Ovis aries: one gene and its partners. The protein of the gene in region 4 purifies or fractionates together with the protein of the main gene of each other region. This does not show direct contact. Links are inferred from orthologs where the notes say so. Each region holds a gene or a part of one and is shown on either strand. Other genes may lie near its edges. The genes, in order: SUDS3, ING2, MTA2, SAP30, BRMS1, ARID4B and BRMS1L.

Region 1 (3,955 bases), on a different chromosome or scaffold from region 4:
TCCTGCTCAGATAGAGCACTTCACCAGGAACGCCTGTTTTCCAATGGGTTATTTGGTTTGAGTTTCTCATCGGACCCACACTCCATTTTGTTTTTCAAGAGATCTTCATGTTGAACCAGAAAAGGAAATTTTAAGAAGCATCTTTTCTGGGCAGAGCTAGGCAGCACTGATACTGGGCATCAATCCACAGAGGTAAAATCAGTCACTCAGCAAGAGGAAGGCAGCGGGCCTTTAAGCCGACACCATGGCAGCACCATCTGTGGAAACGCTCGTTACCCTTCTAGCTCCAGTGCCTTCCCTTCAGATAGTCCATCATTACCTTGGCAGCGCTTTCCATGCCAAGGGTACCAAACGGCTTGAGGAAGGACATCAGTACCTTTAATGCCCATGGCAGGCTGTAAGCACTCCTGTAGTCTATTTTACTGCGTCATAAATGATTTCCCTGCATTTATTTGTCTTTTCTACCCTGGCAGGCTCGGCCTCTTAAGTCACTGAGGATGTCTCCTGTCCCTGTTAAAATTCCGGCTGTAAAACAGCCTGGCTCACCAATGACTATTGCCTGTCAATATTTAGGATGCCAAATCACAGGTGAGGGGCTGACAGCCTTCCCCACAGATGGAAAGGGAGAGGCTGTAAACTGACAATGTTTCCCACTCGCCTAATGAAGGCTCCGAGCATCTGGTGGCTCTAGCGGGGATCGATGAGGCGTCAATGCCACCGGAGCCACATTGGAGAAGAGGGTGTGCAGGTCAGAATACAGCCACGCAGACTGGGACCGGACAAGGCGCCACTGCGCTCTCAGTTTAATCAAAAAAGCGCCTCAACAAGAACAAGACGGTGCTGTTCTGAAGATGCTGTTTTATATAGCATTCATTCTCACCAGGACATATTTCTGAGTTGCAGTCAGTGGTCTTCAAGAAATTCATTCCTTTTGCCAAGTCTTTCAAAAAGGAAGGTATCAGAAGAGAGATTTTTCAAGAGCCAGACCCCTACTTTAGACACAACCACATATCACTGGTGTGTCGTGGGGACTGGCGCTAGAAGTCCATGTCAGGGGGAGGGCCAGGTGGGCTAACAGCACCAGAAATACCAAAGGGGAAATAAAGCTCTAAACTGTTACTTCTAGCTTCAAAGTCAGCCCCGAGGACTTACATAAAACAAGGTCCTTCTGGAGCATTCAACAAAAATGAGACATGCCAGAGCCCCAGGACCTTCTGAACATGATTATAAGAGTAAATCTGGGGCTGCGCAGAAGGCATGCCATTTACAAATCCAAGTGACAAACTCACCACTGACGTGCCTTCAGTATTTGCTGGTGGAAATTTTGCCAAGTTCCAAAACAGCTAGTTCAAGCCAATTCCCATCCTGTATCCTTCTCAGAGTCATTGGTCTACATATGGCAACAGAAAAAGCAGCCCATATTGCTTCTCCCTCAAACCTGCCGAGTTCCCATATGCAGACGACTGAATCCTAGAAGGCCAGGGAGTGACTGGCTCCAAGTCTAACGTAACTTTACTAGCTTCACAGGAGAACAACTCAGTTTAGCTACCCCTGCTGAAATGTTCACAGTAACACCTGGGGTGAAGCAACAGCATAGATGATATAGCCAAAGCCTCTGTTCTCACAGTCAGGTCAAAGTTAAGACAATGCTTTTTCCATAACAAAGGTAGACCCCCCCCACCAAAAAAAAAAAAAAACAGAGGGATTTCCACCAGCAGAGCGGAACTTGGGCGAGTAATTCGTGAAGATAAGCAAGACTGGAATGACAGCTGACCCAGGAATTTTGTTAAATAAAGCAGAAGCCCGATGCTGCAGTCACTGATAAAGGTCTACCATTTAATTTACCAACACCTGTTATGTACAGGGTCCTGTACTAGGCACTCATATTTCTAATCAGTTTTGTGGAATAAGGTATGATCAGCCTCATTTTATAGAGGGGAAAATAGGCTCAGAGAGGTTAAGTGGCTTGACTAAAGTCACACAGCCAATACAAAACAGAGCTATAACTATGACCTGCCATGTCAAAGACTGTCCCCTCACCCCTCTTTCAGCTCACTCTGCTCTGATGATGAGGAACTGACAGGAGTCAGCACTGGAGTGCCTTCCTCCCTCAAAGACCCCCTCAAATTTCCCTGGATCCTGTTCTGTGGTGCTTTCATACCTCCAGTCAGTTCCATCGTTAGCTTTTCATTTTCAATCATTTTCTTCTTTTCCTCTAGCTCAGCAATTAAGTTCTCTTTCAACTCAACCTTCTTGTCTTCAAATTCTTTCACTGCCGCCTTCTTTTCTTTGATGTAATTTCTTTCCACTTGTTCCGTCTAAGCAAAAGAGAAACATAGATTGTGGCTATATAACCCTGGGAGCCAGGGTCTGAACACAAAGCCTTGTTCTGTGCGTAAGCACCAAGAAAATACCTTTTCTAGAAATAAGAGAGACAGCAGCAGTCACACACCAACGAGCAGTAACAGGGTGTCTAGGAGCAAGCTTCCCAATGCATGCATGAAACTGAACCACATAACTTCTGGTTTTTATGTGAATCCCTCACTTGTAATCAGGTATTTCCCTCTCTTCCACATCTTATACTTTGGGGCTTGTATGTGGAAACAAAACCTAAGTTTCTCAAAAACAGTAAACAAACCCTTTTGAAGATACAACTTCGAAGGAAAATAGTATATTCCAGATGAAATACCTATATTCAAGATGAGTTATAAGATACCAAGACAGCCTGAGTTGCCCTATTTTTTGATGCGTACAGTAAGGTTAGATCCAGCAGTAAGATAAAGACCAACAAGAGGACAAGATCACTTATTAGGTGCCTGAACCCAGAGAGACACTCAAACAGTGAAATTATACTAAGTAAAAAAAAAAATGCATAAGCATCCATTTTCCAAATCTCATCATTTCCTGAAGTGAAGAACAAGGGGACTCCTGGTGGGTATGGCTATGGGTCGTGTGACCCTCTGGGCCATGACTATGCGTGTTTGTGCTGACTTCAGTCTCCAATAACGTAGCTGTGAGAAACCATGACCACTCCCCCACCCTCCCGCTTCGCCACACACACACTGGCCCCTTAGGAGCCAGCACATCACCCAAGATTTGGCCCTCATCACTGCCTGTAGGTCTGCACCTCACATGGAACCAGCACTCAGGCATCTGCTCAGTCAAAGATCTTAATCAGTCTTTCCCTCCCATCCGGAGTTTCAAAAGGATGAAACTGAGCTGATTCAGAGACCTGGCTGCTTTGAGGACCAATATAACCAACTATTAGGCCATTATAATTCAGTGCGTGCATGTGCGCTAATTTGCTTCAGCCAGGTCCGACTCTTTATGACCCCATGGACCACAGCCCAGCAGGCTTCTCTGTCCATGGGATTCTCCAGGCAAGAATACTAAAGTGGGTTGCCATGCCCTCCTCCAGGGGATCTTCCTGACCCAGGGATCAAATGTGCATCTCTTATATGTCTTCTGCACCGGCAAGTGAGTTTTTTACCATGTACCCCCAAACGGCTGTAATGTGAGATGAGAGTCAACAAGAAAGCAGTGAGGGGTGAGTATCCATCTGTCAAGCCCCTGGGATAAGCACAGGCTGCCCCACCAACAAACAGAATTTCTGAGCTGAGACCAAATGTCCTTTAGTCAAACAGAACCCTAGTTGAGGCTTCCAGCGGGCCTCTGCGAACCCAGCAGCTATGTCTATGTGGTGATGAAGGAAAGGCCACTGGGTTGGGAGAGCAAGATCCCACCCTGACAAAGATCCTGCAAGCCCAGAAGACCCGTGGTACTTACTTCCAGCTGGAGGAAGAGCTCTGAAAGAGAGAAAACATGCAATTAGATTCGCGAAGCTGTACCACCTTTCTAGAGAGTGACGTTAGGATTCATTTAGAAGCAGTAATTGCTTTCTGAGAGCACCGTTACACAGAGCACATGTTTCCATCAGTAAAGTGTGGCTACATGA
Region 2 (4,405 bases), on a different chromosome or scaffold from region 4:
AGGTACTGCTCACAACAGTGCTTGTTTACACAGGCAACTGTTAAAGTTCCCCATGTATTTGTTCTCTTTACACCCATTTCTTTGAAAAAATACACGCTGTTATATACACCGAGTCAATATGGAATTCAAATCAACTCCTCTGCTGGGCATTTTATTTAACACCAGACAGAAATTTACGCCGTGAGAGCCGATCACGTAAGACGAGGGTAAGTGCCTGACTCCTCTTGAGGTTTATCCTGGCGTCTCCATCATCCCTTCAAGCCGGGCCCACAGTGGTTTTGTTTTAGGTCGAAGATGTTAACTGACCGTGCCCCTATCGCCGTCAGGAAGCCGTCACCGCCAATGTTTCAAGTTTAAACGTTCTGATCCCCGGGGGCAAAACATGTTTTTTTTTTTTTTTAAAAAAACGTTGTCTGTTGGACAAACAGGTACAGGGCAGAGTCTGCCTAAAATAAACGCGAGTCTACAAAAGTCGGAGGGCGGACCAAACCTGCAGGTCCTGGGGCAGCGGGAGACCCCCCGCAAGGGCGGAAGGGCGGGCGCTGGCCTAAGCCGAGAGGGAAGATCCCAAAGGCGGGCGGCCCAAGGCAGAAAGAGACGCAGGGGGCCGCGGGGGCGCCACCGACTACCTCCGCGATCGGCCCCCTGTGCGCCGGGAGCCTGAAGGCCGCGGCGGGAGGAGGACGGGGCCCGAGCGCGGCGCCGGCCCGGCGGGCACACCGCCACCGCCGCCGCGCATGCCCGAGAGCCGCGCCCGCCGCGTCGTCCCCGCAGGCCTCCCTCAGGGTCGCGGCGGGAAGCGGCCGCCCGCTGCCGCTTTCTGAGGCTCTCCAGGGGCAGCGCTAGGCCCCACCTGATGGGCGCGGGGCGGGGCGGAAAGTCGGTAACACCGGGCCGAGAGAGCGGGACCCAGCTTCCCCCTCCGTGAGGGAAGGGCGGAAGGAAGGCAGTCGCCTTCCTTCGCGCTTCAGTCCCATTCAGACACTTAGCGGAGAGGCGGGCCGGGCCGCGCTGCCCCTTTAAGAGGAGGCGGGGCGCAGCCTGCCGTTTGGCCGCCCTCCGCACCCTCCCCCCGCCCGGGCCGAGAGTTGACAGACCAATCGCCCGGGTGGCGGAGGGAAGGCGGGAGAATGCGAACCCTGCGGTAGGGCGGTAGGGGCGGGCCCCCGGGCCTCCTCAGGAGGGAGCCCTGCGCAGGCGCAGAGGCGGCCGCAGCCGGAGGGGCGGGGGCAGCCCAGCGAGAGACTCTCCGGCAGGCGCGGGAGGGTGATTGGGGGAAAAGCGGGCAGCGAGAGGCTTGTCATGGGGATCCGAGTTACGGGGCGGCACTGGTAGCATCTGGGGCCTCCCGGGGGGACCGGAAGTGTCAACGCTCGGGACCCCGGCGCCAGCTCCGCTAGGGGAGTTCGGGGGTGGGGGGGGGGTCCCCGCTGCTCTAGTCCTGGAAAGGGAGGGGGGAAGGAGGGTGCCGCGATCTCGCCCCGCCCCTGGGCTTGTTACGGCGGGGGCGGGGAGTGAGGGCTTCTTTGCGGGGGGGAGGGACCGGAGATTGGGGGACTCGGCAGTGCCCTCCCGAGCGGCGGCCGGTGTCCCCGCGGCGCCGGGCTGCCGAGCCGAGGAGCCGCGGCGGCCGTGGCTGTTGCATGTGTGGCTGCTGGATGCGGAGGAGGCGGCGGCGGCGGCGGCGGCAGCGGCAGCGGCAGCAGCGGCAGGATGTTAGGGCAGCAGCAGCAGCAGCAGCAGCAACTCTACTCGTCGGCCGCGCTCCTGACCGGCGAGCGGAGCCGGCTCCTCACCTGCTACGTGCAGGACTACCTCGAGTGTGTGGAGTCGCTGCCCCACGACATGCAGAGGAACGTGTCCGTGCTGCGGGAGCTGGACAACAAATATCAAGGTAGGGACCGCGGGTCCTCCCACCCGACTCGGGGCCCGGGCACGGTCGCTCGGAGCCTGCCCCAGGGAAAGTGCCACTTTTCCAGCTCACCCCGAGTGTACACAGTGTGTGTGTGGGGTCTGGTGTGTGGGACCCGGGGCAGCGGGCCCCCGCAGGTGGGGTTCGCGGCCCTCCCCCTTCCCCCGCTGCGGACTTCTTGGGGGGGGTCTTGAGGGTGGAAGGGAGAGGTGGCCGCTCGTCAGCCCCCGCTGCAGACCCAGCGACTGCAGCCGCTGTGAAGACGAAATCAGCCATTTTTAAGCAGCAAGCTCATTTGTTCCGGGTGTTCGCCCGCCGTGTACCGCAGACCCCTCGGCGCCCCGGCTCGGGGAGCGTGCAGCAGGGCGGTGGAGGGGGGGCTTGCCGTGGGGAGTGAGCGTCCGGCCGCGGCCGGACTCCCGCAGGCCCACAGGGCCGGGCTTCCTTCAGCCCAGCCCGCCTCAGGCCCCCACCCCCTGAGCGCAGATGCACTGGAACGTGCTAGGGGGGAGGGGGCGAGGGCGGACTGCGAAGGTGGCCTCTGGGGAGGTCCCTCCCCCGGCGCTCCGGGGCTCTGGGCTCGGGAATCGAGTCTTCCCCAGTCTCCCACCCCAGGGAAAGTTCCGGGCCGCAGCCTTTCCCGGCTGCTACAGCCGAATGGTTGAAAGGCTAGGGGCTCCCCGCGGGGGAGCCGAGGGGTGTGTGTATGTGAGTGTCTGAGTGTGGGGTGAGCAGGCTCCCTACCCCCCCGCCGCCTGGGGGCGGGGCTTGCAGAGGTGACGTAGGGTGTGGGCGGGGCACGGGCGCGCGCGCTCCCGCCCGTCCGGGAAATGGCTGGTCGCGGGAAGGCTCGGGCGGCAGTGCAGGACGTAAGCTCGCCCTCGGCGCAGTCAACGTTGGGATTCGGGACACGTTTGTCTGTGAATTTTCTACTTTCCCCCCCCCCAGTCACTCAAATCACGACAGAGAAACAGTCAGCTTCGGGGACCGTCGCCGATCCCGGCACCGCGTAGGTTCCGGGCCCTGCGTCACTTCCGGGTCCCCGAAGGGTGTGAGCTGGTTGACTGGGCAACCGCCTGGCGTCCCTCAACCCCTGGGTCCCTCCTCCGCCGAGTTTAAATGCTGTGGCAAAAGCCGCCCTTTGTGGTCAGACCCAGACCGCTAGGACAGAGAATCGACCTTTATTACGGAGCGTGTTATTTGTTATTTATCATTGGTGACCCTTTTCGCCTGCAACTGCAAGGGGAGGAGTTAACTTAAATGGGGAACCGTTTGCGGTTAATAGTCCCGAATCAAGCAACAGACCTTGGACCTGATGTGGAATCAGCCCTCTGAACTTTAAAAAGATAACTTCTTGGACCCATTCTCAGTTTTTTGACCTGTCGCAAATCCTACAATTTAGTGTCTTAACGCATTTCTGGGGTGGTATTTTGGGGCCTGCAGCCTGATAGAATATTTAGTTGTCTCTGTGTCTTGTTTTTTAACCTATTAAAAAACAGTTTAAAGGCAGTTTATTTCTGCCTTTTGAATCCATATTGACAGGACTGGTCTTTGTTGGGGTCGGGGGAGTGATTAATACAGATTACTGGTTGTCAGTTGCTGCACTGCGTTCAGAACATTATCCCATTTAATCTTCACAGCTCAATGAAGTAAAAATTCATTTTGCAGACAAATTTAAATTTACAAGAAGTTTAAGTAACTTGTCCAATTAAGTGGGGAATATTTGACTCCACAGCAGGGCTTCTTCAGGTGACATGGTCGTTTTTAAAGTATTTAAATCTTTTTTTTTTTTTTTTTAATGCTCTCCAAAGGTGTTTTCTATAGACGTGGAAGCACATACCTGAATTGTAACCTAAAAATATTACATGTGTGCTTAAGAGTTGCATGTGGAACCTTTTTAGTTTTTCAAATGATAACTCTGAAGTTTGTAAAACTTGCATGCTTTTACATTTCTTTAAAGACCTGTGTGAGTTCACAAAAGTTAAGATACTTTAATTTGAATTGGCCAGCCATAATTTGTTCCAGGAACTATGCAGTCTTGACCATCTAGAATTGACAGAAGTAGATTTGACAACATGAGAAACATTATTGGGCCTTGAAAGACTGAGAGATTATAAAAAGTTGTAGCTCCCTTAAGACTATAGTTCATTTCAAAAGTAATACAAAAACAGTGATCTAGTTGTTACTCTATGAGCATGCTTCCTAAGCTTAACTTTCAGTTTTCTATTAGCTTTGTATACTTGTGTGTTTTTGGTTTTCATGTCTTTAATTTCTTTTCTAGTTCTGAAGTATTTTCTGCTTTTTTATTTAATATTTACAGTAATAGTGATATAAATTATTTAGACAGTCAAGTTTCTTTCCTACCTATTTCATACATTTTCAGAAATTACTGAAGAACCCTAAAAGTAGACTTAAAAACTTTTAAAGAGAGAGGAATGAAGAAAACAATTGCATAATTGAATGAAGTCTTTATTATGTGTGTGTTAGTCGCTC
Region 3 (3,521 bases), on a different chromosome or scaffold from region 4:
ATGACCCCTCGAGTGTGGCTCCTGGAAGGACACAGGATAAAGGGAGAACAGTCAGTCACCAAGGCTCCCTTCTTCCACTGTCAGCAGAGGATTTATTCCCGCCTGATTTCTTTGTTGCTGTCCTGACCACCTGGCTCCCCAACCACTACCAAGTCCCACCCCCGCCACCCACAGTCAAGCCATCACCTTACTGGAGCTGGGTGTCCTGGCCTTCGCCTAAAGCTCACATCAATTAGCTTACTGCTCTCCCCAACTGCTCCTCATCCATCCTTACTGTGGTGCCCCGAGCAGCCCCCTCAAGCTGAGTTGGGGTCTTCAGTCCCCCGTACTTCTTCCAGTAGATCCAACAGGAAGCACAGAGGCGGCACTGCATGTTGGGTGGGCCCCAGGCGTACCACTGGGCAGACTGTGTGGCTGTGGGAGCATGAGCGGAGGGAACAGTCAGGAGGTAAATGCCACTTGAGCCTCTGAGGCAAACACCCCACTCACCCCCAGCAGCCCTTATCCCTCTCTGGAACTCACTGTGGCAACTCTCACAAGTCAGGCCCTTTTGGAATCCAGCCCCATTCATGCCAGGTTTTGAGCCCACAGAGATTATCTGGTTAGGGTTTGGTTTGGTGCTGATGGGAGAGAAACCAGGAACTGGTCAAGACTTCCACTTTGTCCCCATAATTTGCCCCTGTCTCCTGTGCACCCCCATCACTTAGGAAAGCACAGGTTAGGGGCGGAGAGAAGAAACACACCCTTACCCATCATACTTACTAGGTAGGGATGTAGACTTGTTTTAGTTTGCTGTCTGCTTCAGCAGCTTTCAATCTTTTCTGCGGGAAGGAGAAAAAGGAAAAAGGATCAGAGCATCTCAGCGGGGGGTGATGAGTGGTGTCATCAACTTCAAAAGCAGAGGTGAGCAGGGGTCCTCTGGTCCAGCCTCCCCAGCCCAGATCTTACCTGTTGAATGTATCGGTCTGTGGTTTTCCACATGTAATAAAACTGAACTATGCTGGCCAGTGACTTCCAGGGTAGCTGAAGAGACGGAGAGAAGGGTGAGCTGGGATCTGGTCCCAGAGCCTCGTTCCCTCATCTGCCACCTCTTCCACCTCTCCTAGCTCCAGCCACTTACAAAGTCCTGGCGAATATCATTGAAATCCTTCCCATACTTCTCCAGGGCCTCTTCAAACAGCATGGCCTCTGAGGCTGACCATTCCTCCATCTCATCCCGACACAACACGGGCCCGCCCTGGGGCACCAGGGTCGACATGGCCTTAGCCAGGTCATAGCCATTCCTCTGCAACGTATCCATTGCGTGAAACTACAGGAAAGGTGGGAAGCGATGCTGATGACCTGAAACTCTCAGCACCACTCCCCTGCTGCTCTTTAAGTACTCCCCCCACCTCAGAGATAACCTCCTCCCTGCAGAGTCCCGAGGCTCTGCAGGTCCCTGCAAAACACAGCCTACCCAACTACCCACCAACTTTTGCTCACCAGGGTGATATCTCGGGAGGCAGCGGCTGCACTCATGTGCAGGCTTGGCTGCCGAATGGAGCTGCTGCAATCTAGGGCTCTTGCGAAGGTCCCCACAGCTCTAAAGGAGAGAGTGAGAAGTCAGGGAAAGAAAGTTCGAGTGGGCTGAGGAATCAAGCCAGATGAGGTGGGTTGGGGGGGAGGGGGGAGCGGGGGCGGAGGACAACACCCAGGCCAAAAATAATTAAAAGTCCATCTCTTAAGAACATGACTCAGAACTATGTCCACACCGCCCACAGCCCATCTTCCCCATCCACCCACCCCTCACCGGGCCACCACGAGAAACTGATCAATCTGCCGGTCTGTGAGAGGGTTGTCTGGATCCCAGACTTTCATCTCCATCTTCTGTTGGTTCCGATTATCAGATTCTCCTGGGGAGTGGAAAAATGGTTATCATCCAGGAGAAAAATAGGTGCCTTGACACAGGAACACCTCATCTCCTCCTTGGATTCTATTAGCCACCTTAACTCTCAGACTTCTCTTCCCAGTGTGCCCATCTGCCCCCTTCAGGTTCCTAAGGTCCCAGTCTAGCCGGGTCATTAACACAGAGCCACGCAGACTGTGCACCACACAAAGCCAAGGCCCACCACTCAGAGACTTTGATCTTAAGATATCCCAGTGGTCATAACCCAGTCTCTCCTGCTGCGTACCCTCTGCCAGGCGATCTGGGATCTCAGCTTGGTATTTGCAACCAACTCGGATCTCTCCCTGATCAGCTAGAAGTGTCTTCTGCATAGGGTCAAACACCAGTGAGTAAAAAAAGCAGTCCTGGAGACAGAAAGAGAGAAAGTAAGCTGGGCAGCAGTCCTCATAGGCAGGGGACACAGGGGTTATCTGGAGTTCCCAAGACAGGCAGACTGTCAACCTGTACCTGATCCCAGTCAGACTTTCTTCCTGCCTTTCGGGGCAATACCCACTTCCCTCCCTCTTCTCCCAACACTTCTTTCTCACCTCCTTTTCCAGGTACTGGCTCAGGATATCTGTCTCATTCAAGAGGGTCACACTGCATTTCCCCCTACAGGAGAGAGGTCAGAAAACCCTGGGTGAGCTCATTTCCTCCGTGCGGCATCTCCCGCACACTAGCCCCTCCTCTCCACCTTCTAAATAAGTGCATGCAAGCCACAGTGGCTCTGACTGCCCCATACCTTATGTGGGTGGCTGGCAATGATTCGAATTGCCGAGAAAGAAAAAGTTCTCGGTGCTTCAGTTGATGTCGCTGCTGTTCTGACACCCCTGGCTGCTTCGATTCCTCCTCAAACTCCCCTGGGAGATTTAGGAGGAAGAAAGCAAGTCAGAAACTAATTCAGAAAGAAGCCACCTTAAAAACTCTAACCCAGGGAAAATATTTTATGTTTTCCTCACATTCCTCAAGGACCTGCCTTCCATATCCTCACCACACCACCCTTACCTCTTAGCCCGCCCCTGTCGCCATCACAGGTGCTCCCAACTCTTCATCACTAATGAGGGCTTTTAGGGAAGAGCTGCTCAGGGTACAAGGGCTTCCCAGGTGGCTCATGGGTAAAGAATCTGCCTGCCAATCAATGCAGGAGATGGGCTTGGATCCCTGGGAGGGGAAGATACCCTGGAGAAAGAAATGGCAACCTGCTCCCAGTAGTCTTGCTTGGGAAATCCCGTGGACAGAGAAGCGGGCAAGCTATGTTCATGGGGTCACAGAGTCAGACACAACTGTACATACACACGCTGAGAGTACAAAGGCTGCCACAGAAACACATGGCAAACCCAGGTGCCAATGCTCAGATACCACTCATATGGCACAAATCTGCCCACACCAGGCCCAGCAAGAATATTGCACTTGTCTCTTTCTTGCTAAACTAACCTGGGGTCCAGAAATTCAGTGACGATAAATAAATAAATAAAAGCATCAAACAAAATTGTGTTTACCAGTTCTGCAAATTTCAGGAGACTCTGCTCTTAAACATCACATGCAACCCTTACTCTCTTGTTTTCTACTTGCTAATAATAGTTTGTTTTGGGGGCTC
Region 4 (3,258 bases):
ATGACCAAAATTTAAAGATCTTGATAAATTCTCGATCTCTCCAACTTATTAGTTTTAATTTGCATTGTAAACAGTACAGAACATGACTGAAAATTAAAGTGCAGCGCAGACGTTCTTTCTATATTTGTGCCATATAAATACTTTTTCACTAAAACAAAATTTAAAGAAATGACAAACTATTTAATTCTACATTCAGATTTCAACTTTCAGCACTACATTTACCTTTGCTGACACATTAACTCTTCTTTGGAAGGAAGTAGGCTTCAAACTATTTGTTCTTCCTGCTATTTTGAACTTGTTAGTACTAAAAAATACTTAAAAAATAATACTATTTAGGATATCCTTAATTCCAAATGAGATTGCCCCAGAGAGAGCAAATGGGTGACATCTATTACTTTGGTTAGTTTCTCAGAACTAAAAAAAGGGAAAAAAGGTAATAAAGTGATCTTCAAATTAAAATTTCAATTAATACTGGTCCCTAAAAGTCAGTTTAAAATAAAAATCAAGTTCCACAAAATAAATACACTGAAGCAACTATAATAGTAATAACCTTTATTTAAAATATTTTTTAATCTAGGAAAGCTCATTGTACATGAGTTTCCAACTAATTAGAGTCAAAACAAAGAAAAGAAAACCAGAGAAAATCCTCTGTAGAAAAAATACACAAGGAACATTTCTACAAGTGAAAAAGCAGTAAGCAGTCTTAACATCTGAACATCCAAGTTTTAATTCCATCTCTCCTAGTGAACACTACTATCAACCTTGAGATCTGACTTGTTCTTGTCATTCTTCACTGAGTAGATGAAATATGTTAAGGTGTCTTTTTCATTCACTGGAATAGACCTAAAGTGGCAACCAACTATCTATAAAGAAAAAAAATTGAGGAAATTAAATTATAGATATTAATAGAGTTTATAAACTAGGTTAAAAAAAAAACAGTCATCAAAAGAAAAAATGTGGTAAGCGCTATTTCCTTTCAAAAAATAAACTGTATTTAACAAAATACCAACAGGACAAAAAGCATATAAGAATAAGATGTTATGAACAAGAGATAGTGTAATTTCAAAAGACCCCTTAGCCCACTCAATTAAGTATGTATTAATCAGAATGTGTACTTCACTTTATTTCTTTTAAATTTTATAGCTGAGATGTAGATCAAGAATTAAATACTTTTACTTGTAAACTTCAAATATCAATGAAATAGAATATAAGAGTCCACATGCATTATATAATGGTTTATGGTTTTTCTTATGGAAAAAGAACAACCATTAAGTCGGAAAAGTTTTGGTACGATAGAAACAAACCAAGAATGATCTTACAAATATGTTTGCTATGACTTAACATTCATTCATTCATTGGAAATATTCTTTGTTAAAATTCCCTGAAATTTTTTCTGTATAAAAATTATGGATGAGAAATGAGAAGGGAAAGGATGTCCACTGAAGAATGTTTACCTGCCTTCTTGCCTTTTCATTCTGCTAATGTAACACATGCACGGCAACTACCAGTAGAAGTATATTAGACTAAACTGGGGCACTGAAACGCATATTTAGATTCTAGAAGATAAAACTTCTTAAAGAAAAAGATACGAGACTTACACAGGCTGGTCACTCAACTCTGGAATTGTTTATAAATATCTGCATTTCTGACTAAGTTATAACACTCATACTATTTGGATTTCTCATTTCTAAATAAGAAAACATATCTTTAAAAGAAGATCAGATTATCAAAAACATCAGGTTTGATTTCTGCATTTAAAAAAATATACATTTAAATATAACATTTAAAATAACCAATTCTTAGGTTGTCATTTGTCCCAAAATAAAAGCACCTTCACTATGTATCTGTTTATCTATCAATATATTAATAATTTCATCATGGCAGGAGATATGTTTATGTTATATTAATGTACTATAAAACTTGAAAAGGACTTGACCTTTTAAATCAAATTTAAAGAAAAATTAGATTGTTGTTGTCTAAGCAAGAAGGAAAGAAGAAATTCTGGCTAAAGCTTTAATGTTAAAAAGCATTCTGCCAAAGTGTACCTTCCATTCACCTATGTTATTCAATATGGACATTTTATAAAATGTTGGTTTTCTAAATTCAAGCTGAAGAATATGAGAAAACTGATTTACATATTTATTTAAGTATGTCAAGTAGGTTAAGCATTTTTATTTTAAACATGATAGAAGTATAAACATATAAATCTATAGATATCTTAATATGACACACACATTTCTTGGCTCTATTATTTCCTGAGAACACAAGCACTCAACTTTTCAAAATTCACTGAAGGACTGCAAGTCCTATATTCAAGAACCTATAAGTAAAAGCTTGGATAAAAGTCTTTGCGTTTTTTAGTCATAAAAACAGGGATGCTTCACATAAACAAACTAACACCAACAAGAACAAATTCTGAAATAGTTAAATCAGCAAGTTACAGGAATACTGTTTAGAGGTTTATCTGTAAAATCTATTCCAACAAAAACCAAGAAAATTCTAACAAAGACATCAAAGCTTATTAATTTATTATTATGCCTCAATTAGGTGCTCAATAAGTGTTTACTGAGTAAAATAAAATTTTAAAAGAAACAGGTTTCTAGAGAGAGAATACAAAAAAACTTTTACTTACTATTTTTGAAAGTCAGTATTAGAAGATGCTTAGAAAACTGCATATAATCTAATGAGTAATCATTATATAAAGGAATTTCCTAAGTGATAGACAAACATTTCTAGGCAACTAGATTCTTCCACATTAGATTTTATTAACTTTGATTTTTCTAACTAAAATGTATTGTTATATATACTAAATTAACATCATTAGTATTTAATGACTTTTTTTGCATTAAAGGTTAAATAGTTTAAAACTTATATATACCTCAACAAGCTGTGCTTTATTAAGCCCGGGTCTGGTTGGGAGTTTGAAGTGTCTTTTGTATCTCCTAAGCGTATTCACCTGTAGTTGGTATAAATCAACCTAGAAAAAAATTAACGTATATGAATTAGTTCATATCATTTGCTAATGACTAATATTTGCTCTAAAAAACATTTCAACTTCAACACAGTGAAAATTTAATTCCATTATTTTAAAAGGCTTTTAAATAATCAAAACTAAAAATGCATTAAACAGTTCAATCTTTTGAGGATGCTTATTAACGACTGGGGACTATAAGAGTTGTCAATTGAGTAGGGAGGTTCAAGAGGGAGGGGACATATGTACACCTATGGCTGATTCATGTTGACGTTTGACAGGAAACA
Region 5 (4,736 bases), on a different chromosome or scaffold from region 4:
GAAGCAGAGGGTGCTGGGGGCTGACAAGAGAGCTCCCCAGGGGAAGGCCCACAGAGACCAAAGCCGGTCTGATTGGGGAGGGGGTGCTGCACCGCCAGCCCCCACCCTGTGGCAGGCAGCGCTAGACCCACCTTTTTGATGGCTGTCCAGTCCTCCAGGATGTCGATCTCCTGCAGCATGTACACGATGTAAGGGCCTGAGATGGGGGTCAAGGAAACAGGAGACGTGGGGAGGGGGCAGGGGATGGGACCGGGCCCCCAGCCCAGGGGGTGGGAGGTGCCAGCACTCAGAGGCGGCGGTGCCGTGGATGGCGGGTTGGGGAGCCGAGCACCTGGGGCAGCACTCAGGCTCCACCTCCGACCTCGTGGCTCCTGGGTTCTTAGCAGGGTGGAGTGCGTGGCTGCGGCCTATTTCAGTTTCACCCAGTCCACAGAGGGCGTTCAGCCCCTTGGCTCCCTCCTCACCTCCTCTCAGGCCTCAAGGTCAGAAGGCCCAGGCCCAGGCCACCCACTCAGGGATCTCGCCCCCTGTTCCCTCAACTGGCCCCACCTACACGCAGACTGTCATCTATCTCTTCTGTCCTGAAAACCACCCTCCATCGGTCTCACCCGCCCGTCTGGGGACTGGCCACTCTGCCCGCTGACGTCTCCACACCCTCACCTCCCACCCCCGCTCAAGCCTCTGCAGTCCAGATCCTTCCCTCCCTGCTTGAACATGATCCCCATCACCAGGAGGTCAACTTCCTGATAATCTGACTGCGGCAGAAATATGGAGGGGTGTGTATACCTGAGAATTCAATTCAACTCCGTGCTGGGCTATGCGAGGGGGGGAGGCCGGCACAGCAGGCCCTGAACAAGAGGGGCTCACACCTGGGGGGCGGCAGAGGTGACTATGTCCAGAAGGGAGGCAGGTGCCCCCGTTCAGGTAAAGGGGTGCAGAGGAGAGGGAAGCCACAGCCATTGTCGGGGAAACCAGGAGAGGCTTCACAGAGGAGGTGACAATTGATGGGCACCGAGCAGGCAGACAGGTAAAGGCATCCAAGAGGGGAGTGTAAAGTCAGCAAAGGCATGGGGGTGGGAGAGCCTGGGACATGCCCAAGACACTGTGAGAAAGCCAGAAGGGCCTCAGAGGAGACCTCACTCAGAAAACTATGGGGAAATCTCTGGATGAATGCTTCTATTTTTCCATGGTCCACACAGGCCAGGAGGACCCTGCAGAAAATTCAACAGCTGATCTGCCTGGACACGGCCACAGGAGGCCAGATGACCTTAAGTGAGTCTGGTCTGCCTCTGTCCCCCATGTGCCTCCACCCTGACCTCCTGCCCAGTTCAGGCCACTGTATGGGGAAGGATACCGGAAACGAGAGGCGCCTTCTTCCTCTTGTTGGGTGGCAGGGAGTCCCATGTCTTCGAGCTGCCTCTGGCATGCAGTTTGTCATCCCACCACTCTGCGCCCCAGACCAGAGTCAGCATCAGGGTGCCGTCCTCCCAGGACGCCCCACCCCTGAAGCCTGTGTCCCTCACGTGGGCCAGGCCAGCCCATCCCCATCAACCTCCCCAGGGCAGTGCAGAGAAGCCTGGGCTTGGAAGCTGAGTTCAATCCTGGGAAAGAGGTCACTGTGCTTCTGCTAACCTCAGTCTCCTCATCTGTTTCATGGATGGGGGTGTGAGATCATTAGTCCCTCCCTCCCCAGTGCCCTGTGTGAATGGGCACACTGTGGCCATGGCAGGGGCACGTGTGTCAGAATGATGCCTCCATTCTGGGACCAGCACGGAGGGAGGGCACCCCCAAGCTGCCACTGTGCACCAGGCACCGGGCTGGGCCCTTCCCCGCCTGCTTTCCGTCAGTCCCCACGGTGAGCACGGAGCAGGCCCTCCTACACCCACCCCCATGCAAGCGGGGAAGGCAAGGCCCAGACAGGGAACGGGCGCTGGAAGCACAGGGGTGCCGGCTGGCCGCTGGCCTCACCAGAGTTGATGTCCAGGCTCTGGCGGTCCTCCTCCAGCCTCTGGATCCGCTCCTGCAGCTCGCCCTGCAGCGTGTCGTACAGCAGCAGCTTCTCACTCTGCAAGAGGCGCAGCGGCTCAGCTGGGCGGGGCGGGGTGGGGCGGGGCGGCCACCTCCTCCCCACCCGGCGCACCCACATTCACCTCCAGGTGCTGCTTGGCTCCCTGCAGCTCACACTCATACTTGTTCCTGATCACGTCCAGACAGAAGCCCTTGTAAATCCCTGCGGAGGGAGGGCGATGGGCGGCCGGGCCTGGCCAGGGCCCTGGCTGCCCACAAAGGCGGGTGAGGCAGGGCACGGGTGAGAGGGGAAGGGGACAGAGAGCCGTGGGTTCTCATAAGGGGACGGGGCACAGGACGGGCCACAGACCTGCCACCTGAATGCGAATCTTGAGGCTCCGCTGCAGCCCCCCCAGGGGCTCCGTGTATTCGGGTGCCCTTTCAGCTCCCACTTCCTCCAGCCGCACCCGCAGCTGACTCAGTCGTTCCCTGAACAACCTGGGAGGCGAAAGGCAGCCGTGCGCCCGTGTGCCCATCTGCTAAACACGTGCCCAGCGCCCCGGGTCAGGCCCTTGCTCACACCGGCCCTGGCTGGCGCCAGGCCCTCCGCTGCCTCCTGGAAGCCGGGCCCCGAGCCCCGGGCCCCTCGCTCACTTCTCCTTCAGCTCCGAGAACTGCTTCTCCAGGTCCATCATCTCACTGACGCACTCGCTGCGGCGCCGCTCGTAGTCCTCCTCGTCCATCTCTGGGACAAGAGGCCAGTCAGGGCCGGCTGCGGGGGCAGGCAGGGCGCTCGAGGGCGTGTGGGGCTCACCTGAGCTCTCCTCCTCGGACTCGGTCTGGCTGCCGCTCCGTTCCTCCTCGCTCTCCTCCTCCTCCCCATTCATCTCGGCAGCTGAGTCGCCCTCTGCTTCCATCTCCTCTGTGTCCTTGCTTGGAGGCTGGACGGGCATCTGGGCGCTGGGAGGAGCAGTGGAGCCATCACTCGCCCCTGTCCCCAGCTCCGAGTGGCAAAGTGGTCACTTGGGGAGTCAAATCAAGCCTCGCTGTGGATGGGGACAAGCAGGGGAGGGAATGGACTGGACTCGCTGGGCCCTAGGGACATGCAGGGTGGGGCAGGTACAAATGGAACCATCTACACATCTCCCAGAAATCTAGGAGCCACAGAAATGCCCATCCCCTTGGACATTGTTGGTGATCACAATCCCCGTAATATTGGCCAAGGTGATGATCTGTAAGATGGGAAAGGCCAAGATGGGCTCTCCACTGCCTACGGGACTGGGCCAAAATTCTGACCCAGGCTTTCGAGGCCCTGCACACTGGACTTGAACCGCTGTCCAGCTCCTTCACCCCACATCTAATGGCCAGTTCTCAAATACACCACGCACTTCCTCCCCAGCCCCTGCTGCCCACTGTGCTGTTCTTCTGCCTATAAAGCCCTCCACTTCTCTTCCCACCCTACAATGCTCGGGTCCTCTCGCTATGCTCAAATCCTACCTCCTTCTGCCTCCTCTAAGACCCCAAGTCATCAGTACTCCACTCTCTCTTCTGCATGCTCAATTTTCCCTCTTGGCAGCTCTTAGGAAACTTTAGACATGTTTAGGTATTTCCCAACATGCAGAAAAAGCAGAAACACAAAACTTCATCCCACTCCACTCAATCACGGCCCCCATTTCCCATCTTTGCAAGGTCTTGTAAACACATGCTCTTCCTACTCTTTCACCTTCCACTTGTTCCAATCTGTTTCCATATCATTGCTCTCAGCTGAAACTGATCCTGTAGAGTTAATAGATGACCTCCTTGTACCCGATGCCAATATTTTTTGGTCTCTATCTTGACTTCTCAGCAACAAAGAACAGTGTTAAACATCTTTTTACTCACTGATTTAATCTTTATTGAAAAATCTAACATATGCTAGGTACCATCAGACACTATGGTAGGAGCTTGGCTCAAGTGCGGCAGACAGTTTTCTGATCTCAAGGAGTTGACAAGTTCCTGGGAGAGAGAGGCCAGGAAGCAGAAGAGTTAAGACCAAGAGCATATGGGAGAGGCAGCTAAATGAAACCTGGAGCTTGCTGCAGCAGTGAGGGCTTGCAGAGGATGAAGGGCCAAACCCATGAGCTGAGCTGGCTGAGGAAGAGAAAGCATTCTAAGGAGAGTGAGTGGCATGAAAAAGACCCTGAAAGGAGAGAAGGGGCAGGGGTGGGGACACATGGGTCTAAGCCTCAGAGAGAAATCTGGGCTGCAGAGATCTGGTCATCACATTGAGTGAGTTCTTCAGACCTTGGGAGAGTGTGCCACCAGCAAGGCAGAATGTGTGGAGTGAGAAGGGGCTCATGATGGAACTCCAGGGTTACCGAAGGGGCAGACGATGAGACCCCTCCAAAAAGGAAGAAAATTAGCAAGAGATGGAGGAGGGAAAACTCAAAGCTGGGGAGAGAGAATTTCAGAATGAAGAAGTGACAGTGCCAAGTGCGGCCAAAAGATCACCCAAGAGGAAGAATAAACAGTCTTCTCAGCAGATCATCTCTTTGCCTATTGGGGGCTTCTGTTTCACTGTGATACCTTCTCTGGGCTTCTTTGTAGTCCTTTAGCTCTGTGCAGTCACCCTTCCTGACTTATTTGCATGTCTATTTGCCCATTCTCACATCTGTCTCTCCAACCAGCCAGTAAGCCTCACCAGGGCAGGGCTGCACATGTGCTTTATTCACCCATTTGTACCGACTCAT
Region 6 (3,955 bases), on a different chromosome or scaffold from region 4:
ATGGCAATCTTTTCAAAAGCTACAACTCTTATCACAGGCTACTTCAAATACAGTATCAGACATTCCAAAATAAATAAGGTTTTTCTTAAAGATATCTAGATGCTCAGATCCCAAAACGAGCTTGCCAACTTTGGATAAAATTCAGATATTACCAAAGGAAACTTGTATAAGAAGAAAACTCAGTCCTGCTTTTCAGTTCCCTAGGTGAGTAGAGTTGGACCATGCACCCTATTTCAGTCAAGCAGATTTGCTCATATTTCAATCATTGTTTCAAACATAAAAATTAATTTCTGAGGGTTCTGAACAAGATGTCATGCAAGAGCTGCCAATGCAGATATAAGGTCTTCCTGAAATAGCTAAAGCTTCCTAAGAAATCGCAACTTTAAAATCCTGCCTACTAAAGGCAAGAAAATGGGATGATTTAAGAAGGAAACAAGAGGTTACCGTGGAAAGGTAGATGAAAATGCAAGAGAGCCAGAAGCCTCATAATTGGCTTGTAGACCTCAAGAAGCTTAAATCCCTTTTAACTTTTAAAGAAAATTTTCTATCATTTTACCAACAATGTTGCCCCTATTAATCTACATGCATAAAATTAAAATCAACTACACAGACTTTAGTTTTCTAGACTAAAGTATTGAAAACAGTAAGTAGGAAGTCACTGAGAGAGGTATTTACAAGTCAAAACTCCATGTTTTTTATATGGTATACTATGACCTCAATTGGAATACTAATAAATCTATAATTCGTTAAATTTTAAAATAGAAAATTACTGTACAAGATTTTTTAGGTAGTAATCACTAGCTAAAACTCAAGTTACCTCACATTCCATCCGCAGTAATGCACCAAGTAAAGGACCTCTCCACCTTCGACATCAGAATCTTTAATACTAGCTTCATACATTTTTTGATTTTTCCCTCGTCCATACCGCACTTGGACTTTCATGCCTGGTGGATAGCACTCAAACTCCTCTTCCTCATTGTTGTCATCATCCTCTTCATCCTCTTCCTCCTCCTCCTCCTCCTCCTCTACTTCTTCATCATCTTCCTCTTCCTCTTTATTCGTTTCATCTCTTGAAAGGTTTAAAAAACTGCAGTTAATAAAAGACACTTCATAAGCTTTTCAGTTCCAAACCACATAAATTGATAAAAATCGTGGCTGTGATTGTTCCGGGAACAGCAGGTTCCAAGCGTATGATATTCTCTGAGTTTCAATTTAATATCAAACACTAAACCTGTATGAGATGGCCATGGATGATTACAGAAAGATATATTCAGAGAAAATGAAAACTGAAAAGTAAGTGTATTGAAAGAAAATGTCCAACAGGCAGAAGAACAGAAGTTGTGCTGAACAGCAAGAAACTAGCTAGTAAGGTCGACGCTAACATTTTCCTCATGTTTTATTGTAGAATTTCTTTACAACTCAGTTAACAAAAACAAAAATCATCGTAACTCATAGCCATTTTCTGACTAAAAAATATTTTTCATTCAAATATTTCCAACCTCCAGATAAAAGTTTAAACAAATTTTTACTAGCCAATGGCTAGTTTTAATAATTAAAATAATTTCAACCAGATTTTCTGAAGTTGTATTAAATGAAATATTGCTTCACCTTTTATAGGAATATCCTACTAAGTTCACATTAAAATCGCATCAAGTTTTTTCTATTCTTCTAAACTTCAACACAATTTCTGCTCTCTTTTCTCCATATTTACCAAAAGTCCTCTTCTACCAATTCTCTCAACTTTGAAGTTCTGAAGAAACAGGCATATGAGAGACCAGTTGCAAATATGAAACTGAAAGTCATTTGCATTCTAGAAGCAGCAACGCAACGATTCTGGTCTTCTCAATATCACGTGCTTTCTAAAACAATCATATTCATTTTATATTGATCACAAATTTGTATTCAATAAATTGGGGGAAAATCTTAAATTATAAATTTTCCATGCACTAGATTTATTTTTAAAAAACTTCAATTATTTACTCTGCAGTATGTCTATCCTTATTACAACAGTTTGCTCTCAAAAAGAATCCATCACTTTATAGCTGACAAATGAATAAATGTCATAAAATAGAACCATAAGACAGCTAAGTAACTAACCCTTAAAAGTTAATGGGCATAGTATGTAGATAAAAAAATCTTCCTCCACTAATAATTTTAGTTTTAAATTCTTTTATGCAAACTTTTTTAGCAATAACATACTTTATCATTCCTAATTATGCAATTATGTAGGCAACAAAAAATAAACTAGAAATACTGTCACAACTAGAACTGTAGGGCTTTTTTATTCCTTCTATACAGTGAGGCAGCAGGGATGAAGGGAAGCTTAATACACTTATGAAATTAAGTCTGAGTTCACAAAAGTACCAAATGAGTCAATTTTCTCTGAAATGCATCACAAAGTCTACAAAGATTCTTAAGAATTACTCCTATTTTAAAGACTTGTTTATAGTCAAATTGGTACTTAAAAATTAAATGAATCCAGCTGTAACCTGAGACAAAAAATATGAATTCTGCTACTGAAAATCTATTAACATTTCTATAATGAAAAAATTGTAAGTAAAGCTGAAATACCTAAGAAATTATCAGAAAGCCTGAAATATCTAAGAAACTATCAGATAAACTATTAACAACTTAACTGATTTATGTATACGTAATAAACATATGTAAAATTAACCAGTAAGGCTTTTTCTGAAAGAATACTACTTGTTTAATCAGAAGATTGTATCATTGCTCATCAGGGAGAAAAGGAAGCATATTCTGGTAGATACAACAAAGACGGATCATACACCAAAGAGATTTATCATGCATCTCAGAATCATTATAGAAAACATAAAAGAGATATAGATGATTAAAAGTTTAAAATGTTTTAAACAAAAACTAACTTGAAACTGTTCATTAAAAAACCATATAGGACTGAGGGCTTCCCTGGTGGCTCAAGGGTAAAGAATCTACCTGCCAAGGCAGGAGACACAGATTCAGTCCCTGGGTTGGGAAAGATCCCCTGGAGGAGGAAACGGCAACCCATTCCAGTATTCTTGCCTGGAGAATCCCATGGACAGAGGAGCCTGGTGGGCTATAGTCCATGGGGTCGCAAAGAGTCAGACACGACTGTGCGATTGAGCACACACGCACACGTAGCACTGAACACAACCGGCAAACACCAATAATAGCTAGCACAATCCTACTTTCAGTGGTAGCCAGGGCAATCTTTTATGTAATCTGGAATAAAAACCTAATACTCTGTATTAATTTTTAAAAGCAATCAAAAATTAAAAATTAGAATTTCTCATTTAATGTCAACCTCAGACACAAATCAAATGAGTCACTCAATAACACACTGAACTACAAAGAGGCAAACAACACAATTACTGGCCATCAGCCGAACCAAATATTCTCCCCCTCCTTCTCTTCTCAGTGGCAAAAATCAGAGGTAGATACATCAAAAAGAACACAGAATGTCAAGAAAGAGAGCCTTTCAAAGTATAAAATGTAGCTGGTATACTAAGCGGATGTATGTATTACACAAAAACATAAACACAACACACACACATTACATGAGTTATCTTTTACATTTTGGGAAACCAAATGTATCCACGAGGACTTTTTCATCTGAACTCACAAATAATCAAATTTCCCAAGTTTGATGTCACATTCCTTACTTACAATGGACCAAAATTAAGACCAAAATAACTATTATAGGTTATTAGTACCTGCTACGGGCCAGGCACTGAACCAAACATTTTACATAAATTCAATTATTTAATCTTACACAACTGAACTACAAAGGAAGGACACTGAAAGTTCTTGTACCAGCTAATTACTTAAGAGAGTTTATATACTAGATAAATATTTATATGTTAATTCTTCACAATCACAAAATTTTCTGTTGTACTGATCTAATAAAATCCAGAGATCAGTTGGATATTTCTAACCCATAAATTTTCTACAGCAGCCA
Region 7 (3,955 bases), on a different chromosome or scaffold from region 4:
ATTGTATGTTGAGTTTTAGAAAAGTTTAACCCAGACATGATAGTGTATTATTCTGGAAGTTGATTCAGATAATTTTTCCTTTCTGGTTTTAAAAAAAGAATATTAACTAGTTATTAACTAGTATGAACATTCAAACTTGCTTTATTCCTTTAAAATCATTATATAAATCACTATGCTAAATATAATGATCAATAATAGACAATATTAGTTGTCTTAGTTGTATTAGTTGGTATTTTCAAGAGGAGAGAGTGGAATGTTACATGAATGCCAAGTATCATCATGTTTTCAATAGTCAACTGCTATTTATACAAACAACTATAAGCATAATCAGTGGTTTCTTCTGGGAGTTACTATATGCCATCCTTGTGATGTATTATGACATAGTCACCTATGATGCAGTAATAAATGGCAAAAATTTTTTTTACATGATGATCTTAAATCTGCTTTGAGATTTTAGGATATCTTTGAAATGCTACAAAACCAGGGTTAGAAGTGCTTCTCATAAAGAATGACAGTTTCAACATTTTCTTGTTAAAAAAGTTCTATCCTGCAGGACTATTGGTAAAAATAAACATTGGGTTGCCTCACATACCATCTTTGATAATCAAGCTGAAGGTATTGATGTGCAAGCTGTTACATTAGGCCTGTTTGCATGTAGACTCATAAAAAGAGCAACGGGGATTCTTTGCCCCACTTTTCACTTCCCCATCTGCCAAGCAACTCATGTTGTTATAGCTTCTTCATTCGCAGTCTAGATGAGCTGGGTATGCCAGGTCTTAAGTTCCCTAGGCTTTGGTTTTACCTTCATCACTCTGCTTCTTCTTGGTTCTCTTAAAAATTAAGTAGGCTGAATATTTTTAAACTGACTCCTTTTCAAGAGATTTGGAGGGGAGGCAGGGAATTATTTATTTTTGACAGCTAATAATGCCTGTATCTAAATTACTCAAAATAATTTGTTCCTTTTAAACTCAGTGTTTATTTGACCTTTTCTCTTAGAATTGATTTATTCTGCAGTGAAAAACACCTACAGTGTCCAGAGGTAGTTATTTTGGTTGTATTTTTTTGATTTGTAAATTAACCATTAAAAAGTGATATGTCTAAAAAATAGAAAAACATTTCTTTGTGATTATTTGCATAAAAGTCAAATGACGTAACTGTGTTCTTGTCACCTGAGATCAAGGAAAAAATATATTCGGTAGGCTATTAGAATATGAATGATATTAAGAGATAATGTATAGAAATGATAAATTGTTAGCCTTTGCTGGGCCTTTAAAATTAATATCTTAATTTTTGCTTTGTTAAGACTTTATAAAGAACGATTAAGTCAGGTGGATGCAAAACTACAAGAAGTCATAGCTGGAAAAGCACCAGAATATTTGGAACCACTGGCAACTTTACAAGAAAATATGCAAATTCGTACAAAGGTAGCAGGTAGGAAAGTGAAACATCTTTTCCATATAGTAGAATATGAATTCTTCAATAGATTTAAAAGGTGGTTGTTGTTAATAGAAGTACAAATGTATCTACGTTGAACAGAATATTATACTATCAGTCAGCCCACAGTTATTTTAATTTATTAAATGCCTCCTGCTTTTCTCTGCTGCTGTGGAGCGTTAAAAAAAAAAAAAGCCCTCAAATTGCTCACAGTGTTGTTGAAAAGATATTTCCACATGTGAAACAGTTAGAAACCAGGATATTTTCATTAAGACATACTGTTAACACCGTAGTTTATTTTTCTATTAATGTTCAATTTAAGTCCTCTTAGTATTTTTCATCTTTAAGAGTGATAAAGAGTTCTTATTTATAAAAACATTTAAAAAATTTTGATCAGGATGTTACAGAACAGGGAATTAGCCTTCAAACCTGTAGTTCAGCTATGAGTTTTTATTTTGGAAAGTTTGATGGTGCATTTGTGATTATGAATAAATGGAGGTGTATTTTATTTGTATGGTTAAATTTCAGTCTTCTGTTTGTAACTGGGATCTGGCCTCGGAATTGTGTCCTACCATGCCTAACAAAGGATATATCTATTTGAAGATCATTTAATGATTTTTCATCGTCAAACTAAAAACTGAAATTTACTGAAGATGCTGATTGTTTTCTTTTTGGGGAACAATAATTGATCCTCATACACCTGTTACATATTAATAATACCTACGGCATTGTTGATAATAGGTTCTTCTTATACTGAATCCTCCTTAAACCGAATTTTAGTCTTGAGTGCTTAACATTAAGTATATAGATAATGTTATGCTTAATCTACTATTTTTGCATATTGACTTAGCACATCCTTAAAAGTAAACATGTCCTTACTTTTCTTTGACATTTGAAAAGAACTAAGTGAGACTTCCTTAAGTTTTGAAAATATTACTTGAGTCAGTTATTCACTTCGCTACGAGGTGGCCTCCTGTACTTTTTGATTGTACAAAGAGTAGTGTGTGTGATTGTGTTGCTGACGGCATAGTTCCAGATATCTGTTCCTTGCCTTTACTGTACAAGAAAAAGTATTACAGTTCTAGAGGCAGCTATGGCATAGAGTTAAGTATGTACATCTAGACCTCTTTGCCATTTTTGTGATGGCGTATTTGCATGGCCTACTTTCTGTGTTTTTTTAAGGGTGCCTATTTTATGCAGTGGTCTCGGTACCTCTAAGTTAAACTTGAACATCTATCCTCTAGGTAAAGCTCTGTCAGGAGCACTCAAACATCATGTTATTTTATAAATTTTCTTATATTAGTTTATACATTGAGTCTTGGAAGCTTCGGACTCTATTTTGTTTCGATGGTTATGGTATCCAGTTGTTAGTTTGAGTATATATGATTGAGAAACCAGAGTTTTTTTTTTTACTGTTTCCCTTATGAATCCTGAGACATTGTTTTTCATAGGTGAAGAGTTTTATTTTTGTTTTAATCATTCTCTAACAAGCATTTGGAAATATTTTTTAGAAAAATGGCTAAGAACTAAAATTCGCGGTGTAGTTTCTCTCTAGCTCTTAGTTTTGTAGTCTTCTTTGATGTATATTTTGACTGAGCCTTGTTATTTCTAGTTTATAAAGGTAAAGTTAGACCCACCAATTTCTTCTTGATCCATTTTATAAAATAGGACAGAATTCTTACAGGGAAGTGATAATGAAACTCCTTATTGCTAACATAATCAGAGTAATTGTGTTTGGTTGCAGGAATCTATAGAGAGCTCTGCTTAGAATCTGTAAAGAACAAATATGAATGTGAAATTCAAGCTTCTCGCCAGCATTGTGAGGTACTGTTATTTTGTTTAACTTTTAAGCTGATTTCAATTCTTCAAGTCTTCTTCTGAGTGCAGCAGTTAAAAAAGTAAATGAAACAAAATTGAATAGTACTTTAGCTCAGCCCACTTATGCAATTTTTTTTAATACAGTTTCATTGGAAGCTATATTGGAAATGGGACACAAAGAATCATACAAAAGAACTAAGTGATATAATTTTAGAAGTTTTGCAGCTGTCACCTTAAAAAGACTTTGTAATAATTATGTCATCTGGCATCACCAAAAGTAGTATAATTAGTATAATGTTAAAGACTCAAAAAATGTATATCCGGTAGTTATATTAACTTCTCAATTTTTTGATCTGTCTCCACATCTTAGGGCAAAATTCTCTATGGGGGAAAAATGGATTCTCTATGTTCTGTTTATTTTTAATAGCATTGGAAAACATAGTGTTGATTTTGCAGATTACTTTTCATAAGGCCTAGACAAGATCATAAATAACTAGGGAAAATAAGAACAAGCTCTGTGATGATTCTTATCTTAATGTACCATATCTTTATAAACTATTAAAATACTGAGAGTAGATAGATATAAAAATGATGGAGCTTGTGTCATTTTCTTGGTTATAACTGAGATGAAACATTTTCTTTTCTAAGAAGTACCTGTACCTATCTTTTGCCTTTATGTTGAGCTTTTAGTCTTTTCCTCATT

Evidence for each region.
Region 1: the proteins of SAP30 (region 4) and SUDS3 purify together in Homo sapiens (affinity purification with mass spectrometry; 4 studies listed by BioGRID and IntAct, with this or other methods). This does not show direct contact. The link is inferred for Ovis aries from reciprocal best matches to the Homo sapiens genes SAP30 and SUDS3.
Region 2: the proteins of SAP30 (region 4) and ING2 purify together in Homo sapiens (affinity purification with mass spectrometry; 3 studies listed by BioGRID and IntAct, counting the BioPlex papers as one, with this or other methods). This does not show direct contact. The link is inferred for Ovis aries from reciprocal best matches to the Homo sapiens genes SAP30 and ING2.
Region 3: the proteins of SAP30 (region 4) and MTA2 purify together in Homo sapiens (affinity purification with mass spectrometry; 3 studies listed by BioGRID, with this or other methods). This does not show direct contact. The link is inferred for Ovis aries from reciprocal best matches to the Homo sapiens genes SAP30 and MTA2.
Region 5: the proteins of SAP30 (region 4) and BRMS1 purify together in Homo sapiens (affinity purification with mass spectrometry; 3 studies listed by BioGRID and IntAct, with this or other methods). This does not show direct contact. The link is inferred for Ovis aries from reciprocal best matches to the Homo sapiens genes SAP30 and BRMS1.
Region 6: the proteins of SAP30 (region 4) and ARID4B purify together in Homo sapiens (affinity purification with mass spectrometry; 5 studies listed by BioGRID and IntAct, with this or other methods). This does not show direct contact. The link is inferred for Ovis aries from reciprocal best matches to the Homo sapiens genes SAP30 and ARID4B.
Region 7: the proteins of SAP30 (region 4) and BRMS1L purify together in Homo sapiens (affinity purification with mass spectrometry; 4 studies listed by BioGRID and IntAct, with this or other methods). This does not show direct contact. The link is inferred for Ovis aries from reciprocal best matches to the Homo sapiens genes SAP30 and BRMS1L.

The regions. Positions count from the first base shown.
Region 1 is NC_056070.1:56,884,842-56,888,796, forward strand, and holds part of SUDS3 (sin3 histone deacetylase corepressor complex component SDS3), read right to left. Parts: intron 3,807-3,955; coding exon 3,787-3,806; intron 2,319-3,786; coding exon 2,162-2,318; intron 1-2,161.
Region 2 is NC_056079.1:13,497,812-13,502,216, forward strand, and holds the start of ING2 (inhibitor of growth protein 2), read left to right. Parts: upstream 1-1,239; 5' UTR 1,240-1,713; coding exon 1,714-1,894; intron 1,895-4,405. UniProt on the Homo sapiens protein: Seems to be involved in p53/TP53 activation and p53/TP53-dependent apoptotic pathways, probably by enhancing acetylation of p53/TP53. Component of a mSin3A-like corepressor complex, which is probably involved in deacetylation of nucleosomal histones.
Region 3 is NC_056074.1:37,477,279-37,480,799, forward strand, and holds part of MTA2 (metastasis-associated protein MTA2), read right to left. Parts: intron 2,785-3,521; coding exon 2,667-2,784; intron 2,537-2,666; coding exon 2,473-2,536; intron 2,290-2,472; coding exon 2,172-2,289; intron 1,893-2,171; coding exon 1,790-1,892; intron 1,583-1,789; coding exon 1,483-1,582; intron 1,310-1,482; coding exon 1,121-1,309; intron 1,024-1,120; coding exon 949-1,023; intron 822-948; coding exon 763-821; intron 621-762; coding exon 523-620; intron 415-522; coding exon 275-414; intron 22-274; coding exon 1-21. UniProt on the Homo sapiens protein: May function as a transcriptional coregulator. Acts as a component of the histone deacetylase NuRD complex which participates in the remodeling of chromatin.
Region 4 is NC_056055.1:107,369,904-107,373,161, forward strand, and holds the end of SAP30 (histone deacetylase complex subunit SAP30), read right to left. Parts: intron 2,978-3,258; coding exon 2,879-2,977; intron 864-2,878; coding exon 741-863; 3' UTR 538-740; downstream 1-537. UniProt on the Homo sapiens protein: Involved in the functional recruitment of the Sin3-histone deacetylase complex (HDAC) to a specific subset of N-CoR corepressor complexes. Capable of transcription repression by N-CoR.
Region 5 is NC_056074.1:40,819,702-40,824,437, forward strand, and holds the start of BRMS1 (breast cancer metastasis-suppressor 1), read right to left. Parts: upstream 2,961-4,736; coding exon 2,822-2,960; intron 2,753-2,821; coding exon 2,662-2,752; intron 2,506-2,661; coding exon 2,378-2,505; intron 2,231-2,377; coding exon 2,151-2,230; intron 2,066-2,150; coding exon 1,969-2,065; intron 1,448-1,968; coding exon 1,355-1,447; intron 197-1,354; coding exon 132-196; intron 1-131. UniProt on the Homo sapiens protein: Transcriptional repressor. Down-regulates transcription activation by NF-kappa-B by promoting the deacetylation of RELA at 'Lys-310'. Promotes HDAC1 binding to promoter regions.
Region 6 is NC_056078.1:7,336,780-7,340,734, forward strand, and holds part of ARID4B (AT-rich interactive domain-containing protein 4B), read right to left. Parts: intron 1,088-3,955; coding exon 818-1,087; intron 1-817. UniProt on the Homo sapiens protein: Acts as a transcriptional repressor. May function in the assembly and/or enzymatic activity of the Sin3A corepressor complex or in mediating interactions between the complex and other regulatory complexes.
Region 7 is NC_056071.1:43,755,603-43,759,557, forward strand, and holds part of BRMS1L (breast cancer metastasis-suppressor 1-like protein), read left to right. Parts: intron 1-996; coding exon of another isoform or gene 997-1,039; intron 1,040-1,303; coding exon 1,304-1,431; intron 1,432-3,178; coding exon 3,179-3,258; intron 3,259-3,955. UniProt on the Homo sapiens protein: Involved in the histone deacetylase (HDAC1)-dependent transcriptional repression activity. When overexpressed in lung cancer cell line that lacks p53/TP53 expression, inhibits cell growth.